Linked DNA regions of Cricetulus griseus. The protein of the gene in region 1 interacts with the protein of each later gene in a pairwise test. Links are inferred from orthologs where the notes say so. Each region holds a gene or a part of one and is shown in the gene's direction. Other genes may lie near its edges. The genes, in order: Ube2n, Mid1, Amfr, E3 ubiquitin-protein ligase TRIM32, Lrsam1 and Rnf11.

The links.
Region 2: the proteins of Ube2n (region 1) and Mid1 interact in a two-hybrid assay, tested with the Homo sapiens proteins (2 studies listed by BioGRID and IntAct). The link is inferred for Cricetulus griseus from reciprocal best matches to the Homo sapiens genes UBE2N and MID1.
Region 3: the proteins of Ube2n (region 1) and Amfr interact in a two-hybrid assay, tested with the Homo sapiens proteins (2 studies listed by BioGRID and IntAct). The link is inferred for Cricetulus griseus from reciprocal best matches to the Homo sapiens genes UBE2N and AMFR.
Region 4: the proteins of Ube2n (region 1) and E3 ubiquitin-protein ligase TRIM32 interact in binary tests that used the Homo sapiens proteins (3 or more experiments, as listed by UniProt). The link is inferred for Cricetulus griseus from reciprocal best matches to the Homo sapiens genes UBE2N and TRIM32.
Region 5: the proteins of Ube2n (region 1) and Lrsam1 interact in binary tests that used the Homo sapiens proteins (3 or more experiments, as listed by UniProt). The link is inferred for Cricetulus griseus from reciprocal best matches to the Homo sapiens genes UBE2N and LRSAM1.
Region 6: the proteins of Ube2n (region 1) and Rnf11 interact in binary tests that used the Homo sapiens proteins (3 or more experiments, as listed by UniProt). The link is inferred for Cricetulus griseus from reciprocal best matches to the Homo sapiens genes UBE2N and RNF11.

What each region holds. Positions count from the first base shown.
Region 1 is NW_023276806.1:161,500,317-161,505,435, forward strand, and holds the start of Ube2n (ubiquitin-conjugating enzyme E2 N), read left to right. Parts: upstream 1-1,891; 5' UTR 1,892-2,049; coding exon 2,050-2,079; intron 2,080-5,119. UniProt on the Homo sapiens protein: The UBE2V1-UBE2N and UBE2V2-UBE2N heterodimers catalyze the synthesis of non-canonical 'Lys-63'-linked polyubiquitin chains. This type of polyubiquitination does not lead to protein degradation by the proteasome.
Region 2 is NC_048604.1:104,293,071-104,298,094, forward strand, and holds the start of Mid1 (E3 ubiquitin-protein ligase Midline-1), read left to right. Parts: upstream 1-1,993; 5' UTR 1,994-2,123; intron 2,124-5,024. UniProt on the Homo sapiens protein: Has E3 ubiquitin ligase activity towards IGBP1, promoting its monoubiquitination, which results in deprotection of the catalytic subunit of protein phosphatase PP2A, and its subsequent degradation by polyubiquitination.
Region 3 is NC_048596.1:170,182,799-170,187,166, reverse strand, and holds part of Amfr (E3 ubiquitin-protein ligase AMFR), read left to right. Parts: intron 1-741; coding exon 742-875; intron 876-1,761; coding exon 1,762-1,872; intron 1,873-3,435; coding exon 3,436-3,626; intron 3,627-4,368. UniProt on the Homo sapiens protein: E3 ubiquitin-protein ligase that mediates the polyubiquitination of lysine and cysteine residues on target proteins, such as CD3D, CYP3A4, CFTR, INSIG1, SOAT2/ACAT2 and APOB for proteasomal degradation.
Region 4 is NC_048595.1:80,217,276-80,222,219, reverse strand, and holds the start of E3 ubiquitin-protein ligase TRIM32, read left to right. Parts: upstream 1-1,533; 5' UTR 1,534-1,597; intron 1,598-4,944. UniProt on the Homo sapiens protein: E3 ubiquitin ligase that plays a role in various biological processes including neural stem cell differentiation, innate immunity, inflammatory resonse and autophagy.
Region 5 is NC_048599.1:144,662,208-144,666,575, reverse strand, and holds part of Lrsam1 (E3 ubiquitin-protein ligase LRSAM1), read left to right. Parts: intron 1-1,572; coding exon 1,573-1,663; intron 1,664-3,680; coding exon 3,681-3,811; intron 3,812-4,301; coding exon 4,302-4,331; intron 4,332-4,368.
Region 6 is NC_048595.1:40,364,900-40,369,267, forward strand, and holds part of Rnf11 (RING finger protein 11), read left to right. Parts: intron 1-3,542; coding exon 3,543-3,712; intron 3,713-4,368. UniProt on the Homo sapiens protein: Essential component of a ubiquitin-editing protein complex, comprising also TNFAIP3, ITCH and TAX1BP1, that ensures the transient nature of inflammatory signaling pathways. Promotes the association of TNFAIP3 to RIPK1 after TNF stimulation.

The sequences.
Region 1 (5,119 bases):
TGGGAAAACCTGTTACAGCTTCACACATTAGCCTGCAATCACTGTCTTTTCCACAGTGGACTCTTTCAGTTCAGGAAGGCATGGTCTGCTTTTGCTCTGGTCTCCTATGGTAACTCAGCTCCAAGCTGCAACATTCTCCCTTTCATTCACCTTCTACTCTTTGTGTCACTGTGCTGGCAGCCAGGGTTAGGTGAGGCCTGTGCTTTGGCAGACCTGCCTGGGAAAGCAGCTGCATTGTTTTTGCTACAACCTTAGAAAACGTTAACAGCATCTAAACAGCACGTTAAAATGGAAGCAGCAACAGCCCCTTAAGTCTCATGAAAGGAGCTGGAGAAACGGTTCTGCAGTAAAGAGCACTTGGTTCTCTGGCAGAGGACCCACCTGGAGGCTCACAACCATTCTTAAGTCCAGTTCTGTGGATCTGGCCCCTGAAGGCACCAAACCATGTATGTTAGTGTTGTTAACTTGATAGAATCTAGAAACACCTAGGGAAAAAAGCCTCTGGGCATGCCTGTGGGGGACTTAATTGATGTATGGACACCCATCTTAATTGTGGTTGTCACCTGGGCTGTATAAACAGAGAGGTAAGCACTAGCATGAAAAATTCGATGTGACCAGCTGTCCTTAACTATGGTGATTATCCCCTTTGAACTGAAATTAACCCCTTTTCCTTTAAGTTGCCTTGTGGAGTATTGTGGTGATATTTTATGATCTAATAAAGCTTGCTTGAAGATCAGAGTGCAAAGCTAGCCACAGCCATTCAGGCCAGACAGTTGGTGGCACACACCTTTAATCCCAGAAGACAGAGGCAGATGGATCTGCGTTCACCACCACCCTAGGAAAACCTGTAGGGAGGTGGAGAGAGAGGAATCATAAGGCAGAAGGAGACAGGAAAGCTTGGATTTAGAGGTTGGTGGAGAGCAATGCAGTCTGAGGACAAGGATCTCCCCTTCCTTCTGAGCTTTGGTAGAGGTGAGAACTCTCTAGTGGCTGGCCACTTTGTTTTTCTGATCTTCAGCCTTAACCTCAATATCTGTCTCTGAGTTTTTATTATCAATATCAACTATTATTCGTGCTACAGGATATTTTATCACAGCAACAGGAAAAGAAATGAAAACACCCAACAATCCCTTTTGGGACCCCTCCACTTTTAGGGCCTTCACTCTGAAGGTACTCCTACTCCTTTAGGGATTACTCCCCTACTTGTTGCAAATCCTTTTGGGGTGGGGGACAGGTCGGAGAGCCCCCCTCCCTTTTTTTGTTGATTGTTTGCTTATCAAGACAGGGCTTCTCTGTGTAACTTTGGAGCCTGTCCTGCAACTTGCTTTTTAGACCAGGCTGACCTCGAACTCAGAGATCCTCCCGCCTCCGCCTCCTAAGTGCTGGGATTAAAGGCGTGCGCCACACCGCCAGGCGAGGCCCCCCCCCTTTTTTTTTTATGTGAAATTAAAACATTTAGAATTATTTGTCAGGGCCTTGACAACCAGTTTCCCAGTTAGAAGCTTTGCCATCGAGTGCTTCTCGTTTGGAACAAGCCCCCCGATCACCAGGTCGACGGAGATGCGGCGCAGCGTCAGCCCGCCGCGCAATGCGGGAACATTGAATGAACAAATGGAACGAATGAATGAATGAGCTACGCCGGGGGCCGGGCCTTTGTTACGTCGCCCACCGGCGCAGGCGTGGTCGGTCGCACGTACGCTACTCGTGGACGCCGGACACCCAGTCTCGCGCAGATTCTGCCGCGGGCGAAGCAGCTCGGCGCTGCCTGGCGCCGCCTCCCCCAAGTCCCTGCCCCGCCGCGGAGCGTCACTTCCGCCACCCCCGGCTGGGGTTGGGGCGGGGAGTGCGGGGGAGGGGGCCATCAGGTCGGACGGAAGGCCGCCCGAAGCCCGCGTCCAAGCAGGGACTACATTTCCCGAGGGGCCTCGGCGGAGGCAGCGGCGGCGGGCGCGGCGACGTCCCCCGGAAGTGGAGTCCGGGACTTCCACTCGTGCGTGAGGCGAGCGGAGCCGGAGACAAGAGCAGAGGCCGAACTCGGGATCTGACAAGATGGCCGGGCTGCCCCGCAGGATCATTAAGGTAACCGCCCAGGCGGGCTTCGGGCCTCCCGCTCGGCTCTCCTCCACCAACGCGCCGGGCCGCGCGGCCATACGCTTCACTCGGCAGCCGCTGAGGGGCCCGAGGCATCGCGGAGAAGGGTCTGGCCTCGGCGGCGGGGAAGTCGGGCGCTGAGGAGGGGGCGCCGAGGAGACTTCCGGCCGCCGCTGAAAGCCGGACGCCGGGGGCTCTCGGGCTGCGAGGCCGCGCGCGGCACGGGAGGCCAGGCCGGTGCCGGTGCCGGGTGGAGGGCGGGGCTGCGGGCTTGGCGTCTGGCGCGGGACCGGCGCGGGCCTCGCCAGGCTTTCTTCACCCGCGGGCGGGAATCGCGGCGTGGCCTGGACTCCGGGCGTGGGTTGTGGCCTGGGCTGGCCGCTTCGCCCCGGAGCCCCCTTCTCCTGGTCGGCGGTCTCGGGTGCAGAATGAATGAACCGGCCCCGAGAACCGGGCGGGGCCGCGGGCCGCGAGTCCAGCCGCCGACCGCACATGTTCGTCCTGGCTGCCCGCGGTCGGCGGCGCCGGGGGCTTGGCGCCCGGGTGGGTGTCCTGCCCGCCGTGTTCGCTTCCCCGCGTTGCTGCCGGTTATCTCCGCGAAGTGATTTTACTCCGGTTGGCAAACTCTTTTTTCTTTTCTTTCTTTATTTTTTTGGCCAACTGTTTTCTGTTCCGAGGCACTGGTTCAGCCCAAAGCATCTCGGTTATGGGGATGATCTGTAATAGTTCGCCTCTGTTTTCGTGCGCCTTCCGTATACTAAGCGGTCTCGAGGCTCTTTAGGAATACTGTGTTTTGGTGAGTACGTATGGAACCATGAAAAAACTCGTATCTTGATTTTCTGAAGTCTTTACATAACAGCGTTGAGACTTCAGACACGATAGGCATCTGTTTTTATGAAGGATATTTAGTTAAAAAAAAAAAAACCCTACACTGCTCACCATGCCAGTGATATGCCCATATTGAAGCTTCGTTTTGCTTGCTGTAATCTAGTGAGCTTGAATTTACAGCACTGTTCACTCTTCTGAAGTTTTGGGCGAGATTTGTACTAATTATATCGAGGGCCCCTTTGAAGGATGTGATGCACTGTCTAGTCCCTCGGGCAGTCACAAATGGGTGTGAGGTTGGGTGTATGACAGAAAGGTGCTTAAATTAGAAAACAAGACCATTTATAAGACATTCTTAGGAAGAAAGAATAAATTGTCAACGAGCACTGTAGTCTTGACATAAACTTTTACTGCTATATTATGAATCTCAGATTCTTTCAAAGTAGATTTTAATTGTTAGGTCGTGCGTTGGAAAGTCCTGACTCGTTTAATTCTGATACAGAGACATGAACACTAGTGATCATGTTAATCAGGATTCCATTTGAAAAATGATTGCTTCCCACCAGACCACCGGGTTTTTATTGTTTGGTTAGGGACTAAACATACCACAGATTGATAATGAATATAATTCTCTAAAATTCACACTGAACCTAACAGTTGGTGTAGTTTTTTTTTTTTTTTTTGATTTTTGCTTGATTGTGAAGATTAATATTCTGCAGTAATACAAAAGTCTTGATTGGGAAAATAAATTCTGTGGAATATTGGCTATAAATTTACAGAAATGGTTTAAAGTAGGATGTTGAGGAGCTTGTTTAATTCATTTGGTACACAATGCTTAAGCATATATTCAGTGTTGCCATTTTGCTATTTTAAAACAAGGTAGTGGTAAACTCGTGCTGAGACATACAATCTTTACAGTATTTTATTGCACCCACCTCTAATTTATGTAATATTAATTGACTTCAGTACTTATAGCTTTAAAGGATTTTTTTTTTTTCCCCCATCAATAGGGCAGGTTAAGAGATTAGAATAATTTTTTTGTTTGTTTTCGAAGCAGGGTTTCTCTGTGTAGCTTTGGAGGTTGTACTGGAACTCACTCTGTAGACCAGGCTGGCCTGGAACTCCCAGAGATCCTCCTGCCTCTTCCTCCCCAGTGCTGGGATTAAAGGTGTGTGCCACTGACACCCCCTAGAATAATTTTTAGATCCATTTTTATATTATGTAGGTTCTATAATCAGTTAAAAATATGCTTTTTCTACTGTTAGGGATTGAATTGAAACTAGCTAGGACTTTGTATGTGCTCTGCAAATGCTTTACCACCAAGCAACACCTCAAGCAGAAAACGTATTTACATTAAAATTTATTTTGAAAAGTAACTTTTGGGCCAGAGAGTGCTCAGATATGGTGCTTGCAAGCTTTCTGAGTTCTACCCTTAATACTGCACACAAACCAGTTTTGGTATTGTATTTAAGTGTTACTTTTTTTTTTCCCCCCAAGACAGGGTTTCTCTTTGGAGCCTGTCCTGGCACTCGTCTGTAGACCAGGCTGGCCTGGAACTGACAGAGACCCACCTGCCTCTGCCTCCCGAGTGCTGGGATTAAAGATGTGTGCCACCACACTTGTCTGTCATGGTGTTTTATACTTATGATTCTAATGTAATAGAGGAAGGAGGGTTTAGAAGTTTATCATCCCTGGCTGCTTAGGGGGTTGAGGCCTGTCTAGAATATATGAGACTTTGTTTCAAACAGGTTAATACAATACTGGGGTCTATGTGACTAGAACAGTAAGTGGGTAAGGGTCGATGAAGCCATAGGGACATACTTTTTTCTATTGGATTATTTTATTTCTTGGTAGACTTTGGCTTTCAAAGGATAATATTTACTATTGCTAATAGTCTTTTTTTAAATTTTGAGACAATATTCCATGTAACTTGTGTTGGCCTCAAACTCAGATTTCCCTGCTGCTGCCTTCCCGTTCTGAAACTAAAAGTATAGGACACTATACCTCGCAATATTACTCTTCTCATCTCACAAATATTAAGTCGTTTGGTTTGGTGAGTTATTAATATGGTGCTTTCTACCTCGTGATGGCCATTGTATTTGTATATTTCTAAAGCCATTTGTTCCTTGATGCCACTTTGTGAATTAGTGACTGATTCAAATGTTGTGAATTAGTGACTGATTCAGATGGCTTTCCTTACTGT
Region 2 (5,024 bases), on another chromosome or scaffold:
TTCTAGAGTTCCTGCATAAACAGAACTTGCTTCAGTGGGAATTATGAGGACATAAAGGGTATAGGATCATACATAGACTGCATTAATAAAAGCAAATACATGGCATGACACCAAAATTTAAATATTAGTGAAAGCCCTTTGAAGAGAACACACTAACATGCCTTCCAATGGAAGAATCAAGATGGGTCTTAACTTGATATGCCAAAGCTGTGTATCCTAAACAGAAAAAATGTGTGCAGTACTTTCAAGGTAATATTTTCATAGTATTTTATAGCCCAAACTCATATTCAATAAGTGTACACTTCTGATCTCATTTTATGCTGTTTGATATTCAAATGCAGTCATATCAGTAAGTGATGACTTTGTAGAAAGTATTTTGTCAGTTTGTAACTCTATTTAAACTATCTGAACATACTATTAATAAATATAAATGTGCACATGGGAAAGTGCCATGTTAATGTTCTTCTGTGTCAAAACTGATTTTATTTTAGAAATGCTACTGGAGATACATTCTAGAGGATTTGGAGAATGGGATCAACAACAAACTGATCCTGAGATGTTGGAGGACTAATCACCTTATCTTTCTGAGCCTGTTGTGTTATTGTGAACAGGAAGTAATACACACTTTACACCATTCCCATGGAGATAAGAAAAGTGATTGCCTTTGCCCAAAGTGAAATGCTTTTCAAAGTTTAGTTATTCTTCTTGACTGTGCAATTAGAGAAATTCTTTGGGATAGGTTGAATTGGTGCTGGCCTCAGTCACTGCCAACATCCATTGTCTCTCCTTTCTGAATCAGGGAATCAAAACAGCACTAAGGTATTTTTAATGGCATTGTCACTACTCTAGGAGAAGTCAGCTGGTGGGCACAATAAGAACAAGTGATTCTTTTAAGGATTGCTTATACTTATTACACAGTCTTCATCTCCATTAAAACATAGGAAAATCTTACATCTTATTGCATCTACTTCTTACTAAGTCTTTAGTGGAATGAATTACAATGAAAAAGAATTACTACTTTACTATGATGTTTAAAAGTATAGAGAAAGAATCAAGTATTACGAAATCTACATGTATCATATTTTAAACTGTATTTCAAGCTACAGTTAAGCCTCCCATCTATAGAGTTCACTTAAAGATCTATTTCTTATCTTCTTAAATCAGTGAAATTGCTTAAGACTTTTTTTTACATATAGCCATGCAAATTCACAAATCTTGTATTTCTTTTTTGACACAATCAAATAATATGTTGGTTAGGGAAGATTACTGCTGCAATAGATATAATCAAACTGGTATTTCACCCTTCAAAAATACAATAGCAATCACTGTCTTGTAAAGCAAATAAACATCAAATATTTATATTGTATTATCTACTAAAGTCCTGGGAAAGTTGTTGAGTAAGTTAGTTGCTATGCTCAAATAAGTCAGTTGTGCCTTGTTTCATGGAAGTTTATTCTCTTCTCGTTCTCTTTCTGTCATAAGATTTACCTCTTTGAAAATAATCTCAAAATAATATTCCCTATTTTTAAAATCATGAAAGACAAAATGTGATATCCTATACTTTGATTTTTCCCCTTCAGTGCTTTCTGATAATATAAGGTTGGTCACAGTGCGTGATATAAAATACTAGTTGTTAACTCTCAGTTACACTAAAGGGGCCAATTTTTTGCAGACTGCCAGGATAAAGATGATTTTAATTAAATCCCACAAATCCCTTTGTACTGCAACCAAACCCTCTGCAGGCCAACTGTCTCTGAGTCCTTCTGGCATGTATAGAGTTAATCAGGTTACGGGGGGGGGGGGAGATCCTAGTTAACTTCTTCCACCAGGAATGCAATTCATGTTTACCTATATAAGGAAACCTGTTAGGCTGACCTGAGTTTGGCATATTTTTTTTTTTTTTGCTCTGACTGAGAGGCATGTAAGCACACACCCTGGAGAGGGGGAGCGATTCCCAGCTGGACAGAGCAAGCTTCCTGAACGCCCCAGCCATTCAGCTGATCCGAGGCGAAGAGCAGAGCTGGTACTTGCCCGGAGCAGCCTGCTTGGCGGACCCACAGGTTTGCCTCTTCCAGCTCTCAATTGAGGGACAAACCCCCATCCTGGGAAAAATGGGGAAGCCGGTGAGTTTTACTGCTCTCTCTCTCTCTCTGCTTGCTTCTGCTAAGGGGCACGCCTCGCTGCTCTCACCCAGGAAGCAGAGGGAGAGGCGTTGCTCAGCCTCTAACCCCACAGCTCCTTCCTGAACAAACACAATGCTTTGCCGCGTACCTCCAGCTAACTTTCTCTGCGGGCTTTGCACATCAAAAATCTACCGAGGCAGTAATTCTAGCACCTTAGACATCCCAGAAAGTGTTTTTACTGAGCAAGAGTTTCCAGACCACCGTGATGAGCAAACTTTCTCATCTTTCTTGCGCTCTGAAACAGTGCAGATGAGTTTACGGGGGTGCTTGGAGAGAAACGCTGAATCCCCAAGGAAGTAAGAATAAATCTTAGAGAGTTTCTTAAATCCACAGGCAGGCTGATAGTCTGCGGAAACAGAATTTGTCATTTAAAAAGGCAGTTTGAAGCTATAATTTTTCATTCCCGAGGAGCAAAATACTTGGATCCTGTACGTGTAATAAAGGACACCTTCTGAGACACCGAGGAGAGAAAGAAGCAGAGCTGGCTCCTTTGTTCTAGACAACAACGTATAGAAATTCACTGTTGCATTTTGACAACTAGCATATGCCTGCTTATATATAAGGTGGAAGTGATGAATAAGGCATTATGTCAAGGGCACTGTGGTCAATTGAGTTAAAAATTGGCTGTGCTCTACACATATATAAAACTCTCAGTCTGAATGTAATTAAATATGGGAATGTGAAAGTACTTAGCAAACTTAGAGGGAAATTTAACTTACTACTTGGGAATAGTCAATTATAAAAGGCAACTTGTGAAAGGAAATTTGAAAAACCAAAAACCTGTTTCCACAAAGTTCTGAGGCATAGGTAAAAGTTAAAATGAAAGTTTTCTTATACTTGTCAAAAGTGATTTGAAGGTACAAATTTGTAATTTTTATTTTTGTAAGGCAAGGTGATTTTTTTGAATTGAGTTACTTTGGATAGTTTTGCTAAATGGTGTGACTGCTTATCTTTCAAAGGAACATTGTTCTTTTCTGTCACACACAACACTTAATTCTAAAAATTTGTGCAGTAGCGATTTTGCTACTGACTGCAACAGGTGGCAATGAGGACCTGGTTGCAGATTTGCAATGATGAGGATTAATTTCCTAAATTAATATAAAGGAAAGTAATTGATGCAAAAATGTTTTGAAAGGAGAACACTTTTATTATTAATTGCTAATAATATTCCACTTTTCTACTTGTAGCAAGACTATTGTCTTAATATAGATTGGCAGCTGGCTAGTCATACGGACAAATCTCTGGCCAATTTTACTTAGGGTCCTTGATTCTAAACAGTACAACTATGCTCAGTAACACAGTTTAAATGCTGCTTGCTTACTGCGGTGAGAAAAAAGTGGGAAAGAATCATATATTATAAGGGAGACATTTTATTAAATAAAATTCTAAATAACAGGAGCAGTGAGGGAACAATGCAAATGTTTAAAGCTTGTTATCTGCACACTACTGCTAGGGGGGCAATGGGAGTCTTAATATTGTGCTGCTATCAGTGGGAGTGAGTAGCCCAGGAGACACAAAACACTATTTTAAAATATACCCTTAATAACAGATGGTTTAATACCAGGTTGTCTCACCATGCTGCCGATGAGATGGCCCCAAGCCAAATCAACTGGCATGTCTACCGTTTTTCCTGCGAGTGGATGTGTACATTGTTATTACATACTAATTACATTAACAGCCAAGGGAATATATAACCAGGAAGACATAAGAGTCTCCTGAGCCACAGAGGGTGAGGGTCTTTACAAGGATTTTGAATTTCACACTTAGAAACCTCCTTGCCTGTGACATGAGTTGCTGCAGATGATTGGAAATGTTATCTGTAGAATCTATGCATCCCAGGCTCCTTACAAGCTCATTTTGGGGTAACAATGCTGATTATGGAATGGGACACTTCAGAATTATCAGAGTTCCGGGTAGATTTCATCTTGAAGATTAAATTCATTTAGTGTTTAAATTGTTCTCCAATAAAACACAGTTAGGATGCTACATTTTTACATTAACCCTTTCAAGTCACTGGTAATATGTTCTGGTGTGAAGGGCGCAACATCCTTAAAACTATGAAAAGGTTTTCCTGGGTTTTGAAATTAAAAAAAAAAGACTAAAGAATTCTGAGCAAGGGAAGGGATAGGTCTTCTGATAACTTTGATATGTTCATAAGTTGTGAATTTGTAAAAGCAATGTGGTATGCAACCTACAAAGCACAGTTAGCTACAAACTTACTAATAGTTCCTGGACCAGGCTTCTTTTTGTGGGGGTATCTGGTTATATCAGGACACATTCTTTAAGAAAAAGCTAGCCAGAAATTGAGAACATGGGAAGAGAGGGAAGAAGAGGAAGGATGTAGACGTCATGAGGGAGCAGAAAGATTGAGTCAGAGGAAGAATAGAAGAAAGGGCATGTGATAGGAAGGGTTTTAGTTGGGGGAGGTGGTAGGGGAAAATGGGTGGGAGAAAGGAACTGGGATTATCATGTAAAACAATCTTGTTTCTAATTCAAATAAAAAATGATTAAAAGAAAAAGCTAGCCAGTAGATGGGGTGCTGAGCACTGCTCAAGTGAGTTGCACACATGCCTACTTGTTTATATTTCTTGGCATGTTGTCTATCGAGCTGGACTTGGATGAAGCATATCTTGAAGATGATTTCTGGGCCTCCATTTTCTTAATGTACTGCATAAATTTGATAATTTTCTATACTTGATATAATGTGTAAAACAAAGGAAACTGCCAATGACAATTTTAGGCCCATGATACTGATTAAGCAAATTAAAATGCTACAAATATGTTCTCCATAGGTATCCTAGTTTTTAATTATCTTCTGAGAATCACTAGAGTTTTCAAACC
Region 3 (4,368 bases), on another chromosome or scaffold:
GGGTCAAGAGACAGGACTATAATCCCATAATTTAAGAGGAAGAAACAGGAAGACTGGGAGTTCAAGGTCATGTTTGACAACACAATGAGTTCCAGAACAGGCTGGGATACAGAAGATACTGCTCCATCCTCCAGAAATGTGTGTATGTTTATGTATATATAAGTATACATGGCTGGACATCTTTTTGCATTAAGCTTTTAAATTTGTGGTTAATGACTCAGGAAAGGTTGCTGGCAGTCGGATAACTAGGCTGAAGAGCCAAATGTATTGTTTAGGCCAATCAAATAAATATATGCATTTACTTCTGGAAGGTTGTTCCAGTTCCCTTTCACCTTAAAGAGCTTCTGTTGTACATGCACCTCCATTCACTAGCAGATGTGCTTGCATGTTCGAGTGCATGTACATTCTGTACATGTCGTGTGTATGTGCTTACCTGCACACTAATGTTAGTATGGATGCATATGTAGAGACTGGAAGTTGATGCAAGGTGTTTTGTTTTCCACCATATTTTTTGAAATAGGTTTTCTTCCCTGAGTCTGGAGTTCACTTACTAACTAGACTGCTCAGTGAGTTTCAGAAGCCTTTTGTCTCTAGGGTTACAAATGTGCATGGCCACGCCTGCTTTTTATATGGTGCTGGAGATTCTACCCACTTCTACTCAGCATTCTACCTACTGAGCTATGACTTTAGCCCCGCACATTTGTTTTTATTTTACATTTTGCTCTCCCCATCTCTGTTTAGTTGTTTGGCAACATCTGGTTATCTATGGCTAGCCTGGTCATCTTTATGCAGCTTCGTTACTTGTTCCATGAGGTGCAGCGGAGAATCCGTCGGCACAAGAACTATTTGCGTGTGGTAGGAAACATGGAAGCCAGGTAAGACAGTGTGCTTGATGTTCCTGAGCTTCCTCTTCTTAACTTTGTGTGTGTGGTATTGGGACAAGATCTCACTGTAGCCTAGGCTGACCCTCTACTCTCTCCCACTGTGCTCATCCTCTAGGCCAGCTTTAAATTCATAATCTGGCTGCTTCAGTTACCATTCCCAGCTCTCATTTGAGCTCATTTAATAGCAATTCCTATATCCCACCAGAACTTGCTTTTGTATTCTTATAACTAGACAGAAGAGTACAGGCATGTCAGACTGCTTGAGTGTGTATCCCACTTAGTTGCAGGGTGGTTTGGGGCAATTTATTAACTGCATGTACTCCAGTGATCTTATCTTTTAAAGATGACATAGAACCGTTTTCCTGGAATGTGGGGAGGGTTCCAGGAGATAAAATATTCTTATTTTTAGTCACTGTCTGTTGTCACTACTGAGTGGAAGCACTTGTGGTCTTCCACCATCTTTGTTTTGGGGAGGTGTGTCTTGATTACACTTTGCACATGCATGTTTATGGACATGGCTCACGCACTAAAGACACTCACTTGCCAGCCTGAGGCTAACCCAAACCAGAAAGTGCAGGAATAGTGGTTACCCTTTTAGTTTCTTGGGGACTGTCTGGATCTCTGGGGGTCTGATTCCTCTGATATGTCCATAAATGTTCTGAATTTCACTCACAGGTGCCACTGTTACTGCAGGGTTGGCTTTTGTGCTGGTTTCCTTCATGGTTTTCTAAGGGCTATGAAGAAAAAAAATACTTTCTTTACATAATTGATTTTGTTATGTACTTGTGCCGTTATAGTGGTTAGGTGTATAATATGGTATACATTGGGTGTGTGTGAAACTGAAGAGTTCCTGCTGGGCCTGTTATGTGTTTTACAGGTTTGCAGTTGCAACTCCAGAGGAGCTAGCTGTCAATAATGATGACTGTGCAATCTGCTGGGACTCCATGCAGGCTGCAAGGAAACTTCCCTGTGGACATCTTTTTCACAAGTAGGGGCTTTGTACAGGGTGTTTGGGAGTGGCCTTCTGTCCGGGGACTCTGGGTGCTTTTTACATGGTTTTGAACATAACTCAGCAGCGGAGCAAGGATGTTAGCTCAGCCTAGCCTTGTTGTTGATGTTGCTTGGAGCCTGTGACTAGCTTTCTGAGTCTCCTCTTTTGCCCTCAGACCATTTTTTACCCACATTTGCCATCTTAACTTCTATTTATATCTTTCTTTCATAATTTTTCTCCGTTTAAGTTCTAAAGTAACAAATATGTCTATAATATTTTTTAAAGGGAGTTTCATTTTCCAGAGAGAGAAGCTTTTCTGTTTTTGTTTTTCTTTTGCATTTTACACATGCTCAGAAGCAGTGTGCAAAATACTACAGGGTGAAATAGACTAGACCAAGGTTATTTGAGTAATCCATCTGCAACTATCACAGGGTAGGCCTTCCAGAAAGCTCCAAGATTAGAGAGGGCCTCATATTTCAGAGATGTCATCAAGGCTATTTAAGTTAAATAATTATGAACATGGACTTAGTTTTGCTATTGATGAATTTAGAGGTATCATTTGGCCCCTTGACTATTGAATTTTTTTATCTTAACACTTGTAGTCTTTCCCTTTTTAATATCAGAAAGGCTTTGGAACTGGAGTTAGCCCGTTCAACAAATGTTTTATATGTTAGAATTAGGTGTTGGGTTGTGGGGGTAAAATGGAAATAACAAATGAGGTCTTTGTGGTGCTTGCAGTCTAATTAACCAGCACATTTAGAATGTGCTTTATAGAAAAGAAACAGGGCTCTGAAGTAGTGGCACACACCTTTAATCCCAGGACTCAGGAGATAGAGGTAGACCTCTGAAGATTAGTAACAAAGGAATTGGATTCAGGTTTGGAGGGAGTGACTTTTGAGGATGGGCAGAAGTGAGATTTGCAAAGAAAGAGCAAGTTGGAGAGGATGTAAAATGGGAGGTACGGGGGGAGCTGCTGCAGCAGAGGGGAAATGGAGTTGATGGAACTAGGTTGAAGCCAGTGTGTGACCTCACGGAAGAAGAAGGAGTGTGTCTGGCCGAGGTAGGAGTAGTAGGCAGGGTCCAGAGGGCCACTGGATGGGTAGAATGCCATTGAAGGGTTTTCAGTGAGGTTGGTGGACAGAGAGGAGTGGATTAGTAGATCCAAAATCATTGTTGTGAAGACAAGGCCGTGTTATACCATGTTGGTCAGTAGCTAAAGTAGTAAAAAGAAAGATCACGGGAGTAGAGGACTTGAGGATGGAAGAGGCCAAATATTGGATGATTGAGCCACATGGATTCTGAAGTAACTGAATGGAGGTGGGGAGATGAGAAGCCTTCTTCGAAGTGATTGAGGATGTGCATTACCAGGAATGTGTTAGATGTCTGTGTGTTAGAGGGAGGGGTTAGAGAGGTATATATAAATGTTTCTCAGCATTTAGATATGGTTAGTAGTAGAAGCTAAGTAAAATTAGAAAAACCAGTAATTCTGATGAATTCTCACAAATTATGCTATGGAGCAATTGAATATGTTCATATTGTTTCCTTTCAACTTTTTGACAGCTCCTGCCTTCGTTCTTGGCTAGAACAAGACACCTCTTGTCCAACATGCAGGATGTCTCTTAATATTGCTGATGGTAGTCGTGCCAGGGAAGACCATCAAGGAGAGAACTTGGATGAGAACTTGGTCCCTGTGGCAGCTGCAGAAGGCAGGCCCCGCTTAAACCAACACAATCACTTCTTCCACTTTGATGGTAAATTGTCTCCAGCCTCCACTCTGTCTGTGGGATTTTCTTTCCTAATGAAATTGTTATGGTTTTAAACTGCCCTGTTAATATTATAAATGTATATATTATGTTTATAGTATTATATTATAAACTACCCTAATACTAGACAAGTTTAGTATTACTTTTTAAAATTCTTTTTTTATTTTAATTAGAAGATTATTTTACATGTCAATCCCAGGTCCCTCTGCCTCCCCTTAAAATTCTTTTTATGGCATGCATTATTACATTCATTTATTCTGTATGTGCATATTTATAGCACATGTGTACATATACTCCATGACCTGTGGAGGTCAGAGCAGTTAGTGAGTATGTTGGTTCTTTTCTTTTATGGATCCGGGGGATTAAATTTGGATTGTCAAGCATCAAGTGCTTTTATCTATAGGGTTACCTTGCCCCCTTAGTATTACATTTTAACTTCCTTTATTTGATTTTTAATACAAGTGTGTACTGGCCTTGAATTTAAGATCGTTCTGCCTCAACCTCCCTGGAGTTAGGATTACAGGCTTGTACTAGCCTGCCTAACTATACTTGAATTCTGAAAGTGTTCAGGGTGAGTGGGTGGGTAGGTAGAACTGAGGAGTTATTCTGTGCCATTAAGAAGTAGGGTAAGGTGGAGGTAGTAAAACTGAATTAAGCTTACCTTCAGGGAGCCCACATAACCAGTTTAATAGTTAGACTTTGCTAATAATTGGTTGTATTGGTGTGATAT
Region 4 (4,944 bases), on another chromosome or scaffold:
TCTGACACACAGAAGCCTGGGACTATGGAACTAGCTGTATGACAGATTATAGGAAAAACTACTTACAACTTTGTTCCTGTTTTGTTTATTTGAGACAGGGTGTTGTGGTGTAACCTAGGCTACTGGTAAATTTTTTATCAACTTCACACAAACCTAGACATATCCAGGATGAGGGAACCTTAATTTAGATAAGACCTCCATCAGATTGGCCTTTGGGCAAGTCTGTGGGGGCATTTCCCTGATTTATGATTGATATGGGCAGTGCCACCCCTAGGCAGATAGTCCTAGGAGAAAGGTAGGTGACCACAAACCTAATGAGCAAGCTATAAACAGCATTCCTTTGATCTCTGCTTTTGTTCCTGTCTCCAAGTTCCTGGCCTTCATGAGTTTCTGCCTTGGCTTCCCTCAATGATGGTCTGGGATTAGGATGTGTAAAGCAGATAAACCCTGTCCTCTCCAAATTGTTTTTAGCCATGGTCATTGACAGAGCAGTACACAGCAAACTAGAATAGGGCCCAAGCTGCCTTTACACTGTTACTTCTCCTTGCTCATTCTCCCAAGTGCTAGGTTGTCAAGATTGTGCCACTATGCCCAGTTGATTGTAATCTATTTTAACTTAAAGTTAACGTTAATAAAGTGTGAATCACACACAACTTCAATCAATCATCACAACAACCCTTGACTTTACTTAGAGATAAAGAAATAGAAAGATTAAAACAAGGTTAAGGGTGCTTTCTAACAGTGGTATTGAAACCCAGGTTCTGACAGGTTGTTTTGGCATCTAACCCTCAGTTTCTTTATCTCAGGGCTGTTATGAGGGCTGGACTAAGCCTGTAAAGTGCTTAGCTGTAGTTAGTCAGAAAGTGCTCAAAGATATTACTGTTTTTGTTTATTGTCTTAACGTTGTGCTGGGGGCACACAGCTTGGTGGAATTTTAAATATGGAGACATAATATCTTAGATTCCTTCAGACTCCTAACTAGTAATGCGTGTTCACGTCCTGGAGCAGGCATTACCTGTCCCCAAACTATCTGCAGCAAGTCCTGGCTAGTCAGTGGGCCACAAAACCTCCCGCAAGACAAGGTTCAGTGCAGGGCTTTGCCCGTTTCTACCTCGGCTGCTCGCCTCCAGGATACTACTTCCTAAATGCAGTGTGTTCAGTGACTAGGCAGAGGGATGTGTCACAGGCAAAATTACCTAGCTCCAGGACCAGCTCTTTGAAAGGAGTGTGTTGTCTTCCTGAACTGAGGTACAAAGAGGCGTTCCAGCTAGGTGCCCGGACTTTCTGTAGACTACTACTGGGAGATTAGCATTTACTGACCGGGTAAATTTCGACTCTGAGACAGGCAGAAAACTGGATCACACACCGCGGTGTCCTAGGTTTCCAGAGTCACCCCCTACCTCTTCAGCAGGGCCAAGAGCTCTGGGCCCGCGGGCCTACAAGCCCCAGCATGCCTCGGGGAGGCGGAGCACGGTGATGGACAGGCATTCCTGCGAATTGGCACCCGACGTGGGAAGTGCGCGCTGGCGCATGCGCAAAGGGCGGCGGGCGGGTGGGCTGGCTGCGGTGGACTCGCGTCGGAGCCGCGGGCGGTCAGGTAGGGGGAGGGAAGGAGGGTCTGCGACCAGGGACTGTGGTGGGTCGCGGGGCTCCAAGATTGAATGGCAGGATTTGGGGACTGGATCGGAGTGGCAGGACTGGATGGGGGAGGGACGGGCTTGGGAGAGATTCGGTGGGGTTGAGATGCAGCTGGGGGAGGGGAGCAAAGGGGCTGAGGAGATTTGCAGTTGCAGCATCTCGGGAGGTATGAGGTAATGTGGGGGCTGAGCGGAAAGACGGCGTAAAGCATGTGGGAGATCGGGGGTATCTGGAGTCCCTGGAGGGATCTGGGTGCAGAATATCAGAAATAGAAAGGAATTTGGGAGGCATGGATGAGATAGGTTGGGGGTTGGTGGGCAGAAGCTCAGAGGCTTTGAGGAGATGGTGGAATGGGAGCAAGATCTGAGGTCAAAACAGTCAGGGTCTTGGAAAAAATCTAATTGCTGAAGAAAAAGGCAATTCTGTAGTAGAATCTGGGAGAGATTTGAGGGGTGAGTTCCCAAGGAAATCAGTATCCAGTTAGCAAATCGCAAGCAAAGGCTTGAAGGCAACACGTGAGGCAAGACTAGGGTGGGTGAGGGTGGGGGTGGCACTGTGCAAGTCAGGGAGATGCAGATGAGGGCCCGGATTGAAGGAGGCTAGAAATCTGAGGTACAGTGTTGGAGTTTGGAGCTGGCATACAGGAGTGACAGATGTGGAAATTTGAAAATAGATTGAATAAAGGGTGTAACAGGGACCCAAAAGCAATTGGTGAAATGCAAGGTTGCAACATACAGTCTAGAAGGCTGAATTCTAGATTTGGGATTGAGGGTTGGGAATGGGGTTTGTAGAGGATTGAATGGTGGGGACTGAATGTTGTGACTAGATTGTAGTTTGTGAATTGGTTCTTAGGCTACTAAAGGAGGCTTTGTTTGTTTGTTTTTGGTCTCTGCATAATTGAACCCAGAAGGTGTTTGGGAGACCCAGGAACCTGAAAGTAATGTACAAATAAACTATGTATGAATGAATGGAATTTAGGAGAATGCAGAGGTTTGGGAATAAAGTCACGAGTCTTGAGAGATCCTGAAGGAGAGTTTGACATTCTCTGAAGGGCAGAGTCTTCCTTGTACTAAAAGCCCTTTGATCCTGAGACAGACATAGCATTCTCACTGACACTGACTAGCTTAACCTACTCCACGCAGACCTAACATTATAGGCCTTGTGGAAGAAGAGAGGGAGAGGAAGGGAATGAAGCCAGAAACTACCCAAGGTCTTCTGCTATCTGTCCCTTTCCCTGTGCCCCCAAGCTGTAAGAGATGTTTAAGCCCTCCAAGGTATTGAGTCAAATGATCTTGAACCTGACTTTATCTTATTTTAGAAGACCAGCTATGGCACAAAGAGGTAGTGGTTCTGTAAATGAAGTGTTAGGGCTGGGAGAGAAACAAAACAATGTCTGGGGAGCAAGGGAGAGCCTCACATGTGCTGAATATTTAGCCTAACTATGTCATAATCTAAAGCCTTGGTTCTCAGTCAGGGGTGATTTTCTTCTGCCAGAAAACATTTGACAGTGTCTGGATGGGTGCATTGTCCCATCCAGTTGAGGGGGGTGTGGCGGTTGTTAGTTTCTAGATAACAACCCCAACAGTTACCTAGCCAGAAATGCAAATGGAGGGACCTGGCTTCAGAGTCAGATATTCTGAGTTCGAATCCTGGCTCTTTCTCTTCCTGCTTTAGTCTTTAAAGAGTGACTTGACCTCTCAGTGCACTAGCTTTTTTGGGATCTACATCATAAGATTGTTGTGAGGACCAGTGAAATCAATCAGGGGGCTTACTGTCTAGTGCTCAGTAGGTGCTCAGAGTGTACTCCTGTAAAAACTAATAACAGTCCTGCTAAATATGCTTTATTATGTCCTGTGTTGCACATGAAACTAAGGCTTAGGAGGTCACCTGTCCAAGGCCATATAACTAAAAATGGCAAAAGTAAACTGACGTGTGGATACCCACCACAGTATATATCCTCCTTACTTGCTTCTTTGCTACAGCCTGCTTTGTCTTCCCCTTTCAGCCTTTTCTGATGAAAAGGAAGATTGCCCAGCATTCTAAAGCAGTGTGTTTCTTCTTGATCAGGAGAAACCCTGGGCACCCTGTTCTTGGCTTGCTCTTAGACCAGAACCAGTGGAGAGATAATGGAAGGGGCTTGGAGCTAGGCAAGGTGAGGTGTAAGGAGCTACAAACTGAGATGAAGAGGCCACTGGCTTGATAGAATGCCTCAGCGGGGCCTCAGGCTGAAGGCAGTCATGGACTGAAGGAGAGTTGCTACTACTCTGAATGGCCTCTTTTGTGTGTCTAGTCTCTGGAACAAAAGAGTAGTATTGTCTTTATCAGCTCCAAACCCAGCTACAACATTACTGAAGCCGGCTTTAAAAACAAAATTAGACTGGAGCTGAGGGCAGAAGACTTAACTGGATATTAGCACACATCACTTAGGAAAATACCTGATAGGGATTGAGTTAGCCTTGGAATCAGCTTTTTTACTGCTTGCTTGTTGGTGGTCCAGCATGTGTCAGCCTCTGTCCAAAAGCAGTCAGCTACATTGAGTGCTGACAAGCTAGACGTGATTCCTTATTTTATAGGTCAGAATGTTAAAAAGTTAAGTGACATATCTTCGTAAACTACAGAGCAAATGGTTAATCTGGCATGTAAACTCAGTTCTATTTGACTCCTAACTTCTACAATTCTAGTTTTAGAGATCTTCTGACAGTTAAGGCCCCTATACCTGTGTCCAGGGAGTGTCCGGAAGTCACAAGTTTGTAAGGCTGCTAAAGTGCATTCTCTTGTGTATGCAGATGTGTTTCCTTTGGGAGACTACTTCCATTGTGCCTTTCTGATAGAACAGTACAATTGAAAAACATCATTCCTGCATGCATTTCCCAACCTCTTAGCCAGATTTTACCTTGAGGTAGCAGTAGTCTCATCATCTATACAAGTAGAACATGTTTTGAGTGTGTGTAGTTTTGTATCACAGTGTTCACATGTGGGCATTTGAGGTGCTGCTCTACTGCATACCACAGAGGGGGAACCTGGACAGGTTGCCTTGTTCTCAGTATTACTTAGGATGTGGAGTATCAAGTCCTTCACATGGTTAGGAGGATACTTGTGACGTGCAAAAAGTGCCTGACACTCATTCCTCCTTGTTTGCTAAAAGGTGGCAGTTAGACATGATCTTAGCTATCTGCAGGTAGTATCATGAGCACCCTCAATCTAAAGTTCACAGGCCTATCTCCACTGCCAGAGCTAGGGGAATAGCAGGTGGTGACCTCTTGTGCTGGAAATTTGCTTTGTTAATGAATGGCCTTTGTGGCATTG
Region 5 (4,368 bases), on another chromosome or scaffold:
CAAAGGCCACACAGCTGGTCATAGATAGACATCATATCCTCTGGAACATCCCTCATGGCCATCCACCTTTGTAAAGTTCAGTGTCTGGATACCTATCACAGTGGTGACAGCCTGGCTGAGCATCCCAGAATTCCCTAGTTTTTTGGTGAATCACCTCTGTCAAGCTATACTATAGAACAGAGGTGTCTGGGGAGGTAACAGTTGAGCACAGCCAGCACATCTGTGTCTGATGCCCCTCACACGGTGGCGAAACAGTGTGTGCTCAGTCAGCTCCATTCTCTGTGACTCTCAGGAGATTGTTCTCCAATAACGGGAGTTTCTCCTGACTGCTGCCCAGTTCAGTGGCCACATACGTCTCTTGAGCATTTGGAATGTGGTTGGTGCCACAAAGGCACTAAATAGTGTTATTGAACCTTTATTAATCCACAGGTAAATAGTCTCTTGTGCTTTGCAGTTGCCAGATATATCAGCATAGCTCAGAGCATGTTCCTGGTCCTGAAGCTATCTACCCTAAGATACTAAGAGCCCTAGGGACCAAGGATGTGGCTCAGTGGTGGAGCACTTGTTTAGCATTCTTGAGCCCCAGCTCTGCAGCAGAAGTTTAGGTGGAACTCATTTCCCAGCTGTTCCTTTAAAAACTCTTGGGAGCATCTTGACCCCTGGTCAGACCTTTTATCAGAGTAACAGAACAGGCATTGTCAACATTATATGCCAGCTCCGTTCAAATGCTGTCTCCTGTCACCTGCCACACATCCCGTCAAATCAGGGATACTGCACTCCTGTGACACTGAGGAAGTTACAGCCTGGCCCAGCTAAATACCTGGTTAGGATGCGCAGCTGACTGACTGTGCTGTGCTGGGGTTTAAAACCAGGCTGAGTGTCCCTCAAGAGACACACTCCCCCTGCAGGTAACAGAAATGCTGTCATCTGGGTGGCCCCCAAGAACTGGTAGCTACCAAGCTGACATGTCCACATAGCCATGGTGACCTGAACTAATTAAAACTGAAATGAAGACTGCTTGTGACAGTGTGCACCTGTAATCTTGACACTTGGAAGGAGGCAGGAGGATCACAGGTTCCAGTGCAACCTGGACCACATAACAAGATCTTAAGGAAAAACAAATGGGGCTGGGGTGATGACTCAGTGGGGAAAGTGCTTGTAAAGGACCTGAGCTCAGTCCCTAGAGCCAGGCACCTGCAATCCCAACCCTGCAGGAATAGAGACAGCAGGTCCCTGGGCCTTGCTAGCCAGCTAACCTAGCCAGCTTACCAAGTTCCAGGCCAGTGAGAGATTATCTCGAAAAGCAAAGTGAATGGTTCCTAATGAAACCTGGCTCTACACACATACACACACACACACACACACACACACACACACACATAAATGTACACCTAAGCATGCACACACAATTCAAGAAATGTAAATGGCCACATGTGACTTTAGCCACCATATTGGGCATTGCTCCCTGTGTAGGCAGGAGAGACACTCAGCACCAATAATGAAACCAAGTGACTTCGAATTGTGCTGGGGGTGAAGTGGTATACACAGTAAAGGGAGTTCCCTTGTCCACAGACGCTGAGCCTTGATGCCTTGTCCATGGTCTACCCTCCGCCAGAGGTGTGTGGTGCTGGCACTGCGGCCGTGCAGCAGTTCCTTTGCAAAGGTAAAGGTGGGACACCCCTGCTCTTCCCCCAATTCTCTTGGCCATCCCCTGCCACCAGGCTGGAGACAGCAGAGACCAGCAGGTACAGACTGCCTGGTCAGAGGTCAGGGTCCAGTGAGGGCAACAGGTACAATGAAGGATTGATCACAGGGACTTAAACACCCAGGCTGAGCTTAGGAAAGGTTAGAGTCAGGCATCTGGCTTAGGTTAGGGCTGGGGAGCCCATCCGAGAAAGCAACATGACTGACACCTGACAGGGAGCTAGGGCCAGGACAGGGGACAGTGTGTTTCTATCAGAGGAAGCAAGTGTTAAGAGACCTGAGGTACTGTGGAGAGGGCCAGTATGGCTGGAGTGCTGAAGGCCAAGGAAGAAAAGTGCAGGGGTCGGGGTCCAGCAGGAGGTCTGGTTTCACAAAGAGCACATAGAAGTAACTGAAGTAAGGAGGACAACCAGCTAGGCAGGCCCCTGGGGACACCCTTGTGACCTGGGCACCAGAAGGAAGCATCTTTGGGCTGTTGTCACCTGTCAACATGGTTCCTGTCACCTGTGTTCTCAGAGCAAGCCTCAGTCATCTGAATTATTCATGACTCATTGCATAGTGAGCTTTAGGGTGAGCTTTCCAATGATCCCAGATCCGCTGGCCTGGAGCTGCAGGGAAAAATGATCTCCTGATGATCCTGATCAAGAGAGGCCGGGGGAGAGCTCAGCTGCTGTGTGCTGGCTGTTAAACATGAAGCCACAGCCCCGCATAATGTGTGTAATAGCACAGACCCGTAATCCTAGTGCTCCAGAGTAGAAGCAGGCATATAGTGTGGCAGGAGGCCAGCCGTCTCCAAATCAGTAAATTCCAAATATAGCTGGGTGTGGTACTGAGTGCTTGGACACAGGGAGGTCAGAGTCAGTCCTGGACCAGCCTGGGTTACGTAATGAGGTCAAGGTTAGCCTGAGCTATGTAGCAAGACCCTGTCTCTCTCTCCCTCTCCCTCTCCCTCTCCCTCTCCCTCCCCATCTTTGTATGTTGTTGGTGTCTGTCCGAACTGAACATTCAGGTCTACAACTCAGTTAGTTCCCTGACTAGGTGTTTGCCCAACAGAAGGAGAAGCTATGTTGTCCACAGATGCTCACAAAAGCACTGTTCCCCTGCAGCATCCAGCAGCTGGAGAATGAATGAACTGTTTCATACCCGCAGCACTGGAAGAGCAAACTGCATACAGCGAGCTAGGAGAGTCTCTGCCAGAGAGTAGAGGGAGAGAGGCCAGGCACAGAGGAAGTGTGCTTCTGCCTGGCAGTCACCACTTTCCGGGCCAGCACTGCCCCTGGCTGTAAGGATGTGGTCACCTTTAAATGTTCTTCAGGCTGTGGTAGAGCACTTGCTAGTATAAACAAGGCTCTGGCTTCAGTTCCAGGCTGCTAAAATAAAGGAAAAAAAATTTTTTTCTGGGTAGAGTAGTATACACCTCTAATTTTAATACCTGGGTTAACAGAAGTAGGAAGATTGTGAATTTGAGGCCAGCCTGCGCTACCTACTGAGATTCTCAATACCAAAGGAATGCTTTAAGATTCTCTAATGTTTATGTAAACAGCAAGCATAAAAATAAAGCATAAATAAATTTGCATACACTGACTACAGAAGTCAAATATATGGCATCATCTATTTCCCTCCCGAGGGGATTGGACCTCACGCACGCTCGGCAGGGGCGCCACCACTCCGTGCAGCCCAGCCCTTTTTCTGGTTTTCATTTGGAGACGGGCCTTGCTCAGACTCAGTTACTCTATACCCCTGGAAGACTTAGAACTTGCAGTCACCCCACTTTCTGAGTAGTTGGGATTACAAGGCCATGTCACCAGGCCTGACGTTGAGCAGTAATTATTATACAGAGGTGAGGCCCAGCCTTGGAAGATGGGAATGGACTGAGCCAGCAAGGCAGCTGCAGTGGGGGGGAGAGGAGAGTGAAGGGGGCAGGAGCGAGCAGCTGGGGTGTTCCTGACCAGCCTGCGCCCCTTCCCCATCCATAGAGTCAGGACTGGAGTACTACCCGCCTTCTCAGTACCTGCTGCCAGTCCTGGAGCAAGATGGAGCTGAGAACTCCCAGGACAGCCCCGATGGACCCATAAACAGATTGTCCAGGGAAGAGGCTGAATGGCAGGTAAGATGAACAGCCAGCGTGGGCGTGTCTGTGCAGGTACTGAGCCGCTGGCCTAAGAAGTTGTTCAGAACTGTAACTAAAGATTCCTCCATTCGGAACCACAGACCCAACTACCACAGCTGTCACCACATCAGGTGTCCAGGTCTCCGCCGTCCCTTGAACAAATCACGTCCCTTTCCCCACCAGCAGCAGCACCTTGGGAACTGTCCCCACTCACTCTTCGATTTTCATTTTATCTTACTTGTTTTTTATTTTTTAATATGTAGCTAAGGATGGCCTTTGCACTTTTAAAAATTATTTACTATTGCTGCATGCCTGCGTGCATGTGTGAGAAGCATACAGTATTTCTCATGCTGGCGCCCCCCAGGTCCCTGTGTCAGTTTTCACCCTTCCATCTCCTCATCCCAGAGAAGCAGGCTGGGTGGATCGGGGTATATAGTGGGAACCATGGCTACGTCCCTCTCCTCACCTCTGGCTTTCTCCCCCCCAGAACCGGTTCTCCAGCTATGAGAAGCGAAAGGTAAGGGCTTCCCTGCCACTTTTGTTCTGGAGTATGG
Region 6 (4,368 bases), on another chromosome or scaffold:
TACCATTAAATATAAAGTGATATTTCCCTATCATAGATGACATGCAGGCTTTTGTTTTCTCTTTGCCATTTGAGAACTACATATAAATGTAATCTTGCTTTATTGGGGTTCTCCCTCACCCTTTTATGGTCAAAATTAATGAATCATTTGAGCTAACACATACACTGAGACCAACTATTCAAATCTTGCTTTTTATGGACTTAAATATAAGTGTGGTAAAATTTAGAGAAAACATTCCCAGTAAGACTGCAGCTGGAGAGGAGGAGGTGCCAGCAGCATCGTGTAAGGAGAAAAATCAAGAGTGAGCTTTCATTTCCTACTGGCTGAAAATATACAGCTGTTGGTGACAAGCTGCATTCTTTAGTAGTGACTTTATTTTTCCTTCACCACAAGCCAGACTTGTACTATTTCCAGCCTTGGTATTATTTAGGCATATCCCCATTGCATTGTTTTAGTTTTGGAAATTGTTTCATATTCTCTTACTTCAATAAAACAATTTTTGAGAGAAGGTCTCATAAGCTGTCCTCAAATTTGCTGGGTAGTCAAGGATGCCCTTGAACTTCTGCCTCCACCTGAATTGCTGGGGTTACAGGTATGTTCTACCATGCTGGAATTAAATCCATCTTTATAGTGCAGACATATTTTACATTTTCTCTTTTGTGGGGTGGAGGGGCAGGGTCTCTCTATGTGGCCCTGGCTGTCGTAGAACACACTATGTTGATCAGGCTGGCATCAAATGCATAGATTCTTCTGCCTCTGCCTTCCAAATGCTCAAATTAGGGTCAGGGGAGGTGTTCAAGACAGGGTTTCTCTGTGTAGCTTTGTAGCCTGTCCTGGAACTCACTCTGTAGACCAGACCAGCCTTGAACTCTGCCTCCTGAGTGCGGGGATTAAAGGTGTGCTGCCTGGCATTTGTTTCTTTCTTGGTTTATGTTAAGCATCTATATAGATACTTTACAAGGAGCTGGAAATGTAGTTTGATTTAACATGTACAGAACTTGCCTTTTTTTTTTTTTTTTTTTTTGAGGGTGTGGGTATCTAACCCTATCATTTCCCTTTCCGTGAGTATATTTAATCACCATATTTTCTGTCTTCTGTTCATTTTAAATTGTATTTTGTACAATACTGCAGTTCTCTGGAGGAACTTTTTAATTTAAAATTATCCCTTTAGGGCAAATACTTTTCACCACCACCCTGATGGAGATTCATGGGAGAAACCAAACAAAGCATTAAGGAAAATACTATTTTGAAATATATTTGCTTCTCCAGTTATGACTTCCATATTATCTCAAAATTTGGATTTGCAGATCAAATTTGTTTCCTATCAGTGATGGTTGGATAAGACTCTATAATACAGTGCTTGGGAAGCTAAAAAAAAAAAAAAAAAAGAGGCGGGCATGGGCTTACATATCAAGACCCTGTTTCAAAAAGAGGGCTTGAGATGGCTCAGCAAGTAATAGGTTTTCCAAATGTGAGGACCTGAGTTCAATCCCCTGGGCCCACATAGTGGAAGGAGAGAATGAACTCTCCAAATTTCTCTGACCTCAAACACAAAGTTCAGAAATATAAGTAAAGGAAAAAACCAGAATAAAGGGAAAGGAGGAAGTTGGAAGAATCAGAATAAACTAGCTACCTTTGACTAAATGAGGTCATCATAGAGTGGCCTAGATACTTTGAGATTTGCACTATGTGTCTCTGGCTAACCTAGAACTTGGTATATAAATCAGGCTGGAAACAATCTTGCCTCTACTTCACCTGTGCTACGATTGTGTGTATGTACCACACCACTTGCCAGTATGAATGACATTTTTTTTTTTTAAAAAAAAAAAAAGGTCTTCTAATTTGCTGTGTGGAACCCTGGAGTTCAGAGGTATTAATATGCCAAAAGGGCCAGGTCTGAAATTCTATGAAATGCATTTCTTTTTTTTCCCCCCCCCATTGTACTTCTCTGTCATTAACCCAGAGATAGACAGCTTGGAAAGGTTTTAGAAGAAACAGAAATACAGTTGGTTTTGGACCCAAGTTAAATCTAAAGCAACAAGCCAAGTATTGTCACTTGGAGAAGAAATGCTGATTGCAAATTTTCTGACATTACATGATATAGAGTACTTTTAATATAGAGTACCTTTAATTTTTTATTTTGTTTTGCTTTTTGGCTGTCCTGGTACTGTCACAGATCTCCCAGTCTCTCTCTCAAAAGTGCTGGGATTAAAGGCATGCTCCTCCGAGGCGCCCCCTCTCCCCCACCCAAATCGGGCAGATTTGAGTTGGAATTATATGCCTAGGGCACAGATTAATTACTGTTAGTCCAAAACGCAAAGTAACTATCTTTGTATTCTTAGAGATGGTTACAGCCATCTTGTGGAAATACAAGGGCCTTTCCATTCAGAAATAGCTAGTCTTCAAGTATGTTTTGGAAAACTATTCCTACTGACGCTTTGTACCTTTGAAGGCCAGTTTTTCTATTAATTAGCAATTTTTCACAAACTTTCATTATCTTTTTTGTGCTGTTTCCTTGTATATAGAAAATGATTAATTGGTAAACATTTAAGGTTTATATTTTGAGGTAAGAGGAGGTGACAGAAGTGAGTACAATAATCAGTCATTCCTAAAAATATACTTCTAAAACAAAACCAAAAGACTCAAGTGTTGTGGCTTGAACTCAAGCTTTAATTAGGTATTTAACAATGGGCTTACAGATTCCAGGAAATGTTTGATACAATAAACTGAAATGAAACACTGGGGTTGGTTACATTTTTAGTAGACTTTCTTTGTTCCATCCTATCAAAGACTGTTCTGTACAAAGGAGCAGAGCCTGTCCAGGGTAAAGTTTGCCTTTAATCCCAAAAGAGGCAGGTAAAGTTGGAGGCTGCCCTGGTCTGCATAGAGAGACCTTGACTTAAACTAAAAAGATAAAAGAAACAGGAGCAAATATAGACAGCCCTATAATCCAGTGATTTTTTTCTCCAATTTTTTGAGTCTCACTGTATTGCTCAGGCTGGCCCAATGTAGCCCTGGCTGGCCTTGATTCTTCAATCTCTGTTGGGAAACCACATCTGGCTCTAGTATTTTTTTTTTTAAATGCTGTTCTGCAGTCATAGAGTAGCAGAGTTGTAATCCTGGCTGTTACATAATTTAAGCTTTCTTGTGTACAGTGGTAAGGACAACACTTAAAATTCCTACTTTTATAGTGACCTTCTATAAGGTACAAATGTTAAATAACTTGGTCAATGTTGTATGTAGTTAATAAGCATCATAATGGGACTTGTCTGCATTGAAATATGCTTACTAAGTATAAAACTTTAAAGTAGTGTGTCTAAGATGAAGATGCTCACATTCTCAGTTATAATGTAAAGGGTCACTCGTATTTTTGATCATAGACAAGAGTGTCTATATGACAAAGTCAGTAAGATACAAAGCCTGCTGCATGATTATCCAGTCTCCCACTTATCACAGGGCCTATTTTAACTTCTCTGGCTAAGTAATTTAATACACCCCAGAAAATGGCTTTTAATTTTTTTTCCTGCACTTTTCATATTTAGGAACAAGTTCCCGTTCCCGTCTATCATCCAACACCTAGCCAGACTCGGCTAGCAACTCAGCTGACTGAAGAGGAACAAATTAGAATAGCTCAAAGAATAGGCCTTATACAGCATCTGCCTAAAGGAGTTTATGACCCTGGAAGAGATGGATCAGAAAAAAAGATCCGAGAGTAAGTAATAATTTTATGTGTTATAGAGATTTGTGCGTGTAGTGTTTTGATGATACTGGAGATTGAACACTAAGCTGTATTTCCAACCATAAACTTTAGCTTTTTGAATTTGGCTTTTTGTTTATTTAGGAAGCTTATGAAATTCTATACTGGAAAACCCAAGTTAAGTGTAGCAACTGGAAAACCCAATGTAGCAATAAAGAAGTCTTACATTCTGACGAATATAGTTGCTGCATGCCCATTTAGATGACAGTTAAAACCATTTACCTATATAAATGTGACATTTCTGGTTTATTTTATGAGAGCAATTTAGCAGTTGTCTAAGGAGTTAAACTTTTGTTTAAAAAAATGAGTTAAACCTTTTAAACTCTGAGCTAATTAAATGTCCTCAGTATTTATACTCCCCACCCCATGCCAAATACATACTAGAACTTTAGGCACAAAATGTTTACTGTAGTTTTATTGAGGGGTAAAAATACAAACTTCATAAATGTCCAACAATAGAGGTGTATAGTTGAATAAATTGTGATTCAGAAATACTGACATGCAATTTAAGGGAGGAAGGCTTTATTTTATTCTCACTTGTGATTTCAGGGAACCCAGTCTCATACTGGGAAAGGCATGACAACAGGACTTGCTCTTGTCCATGTTGGTGG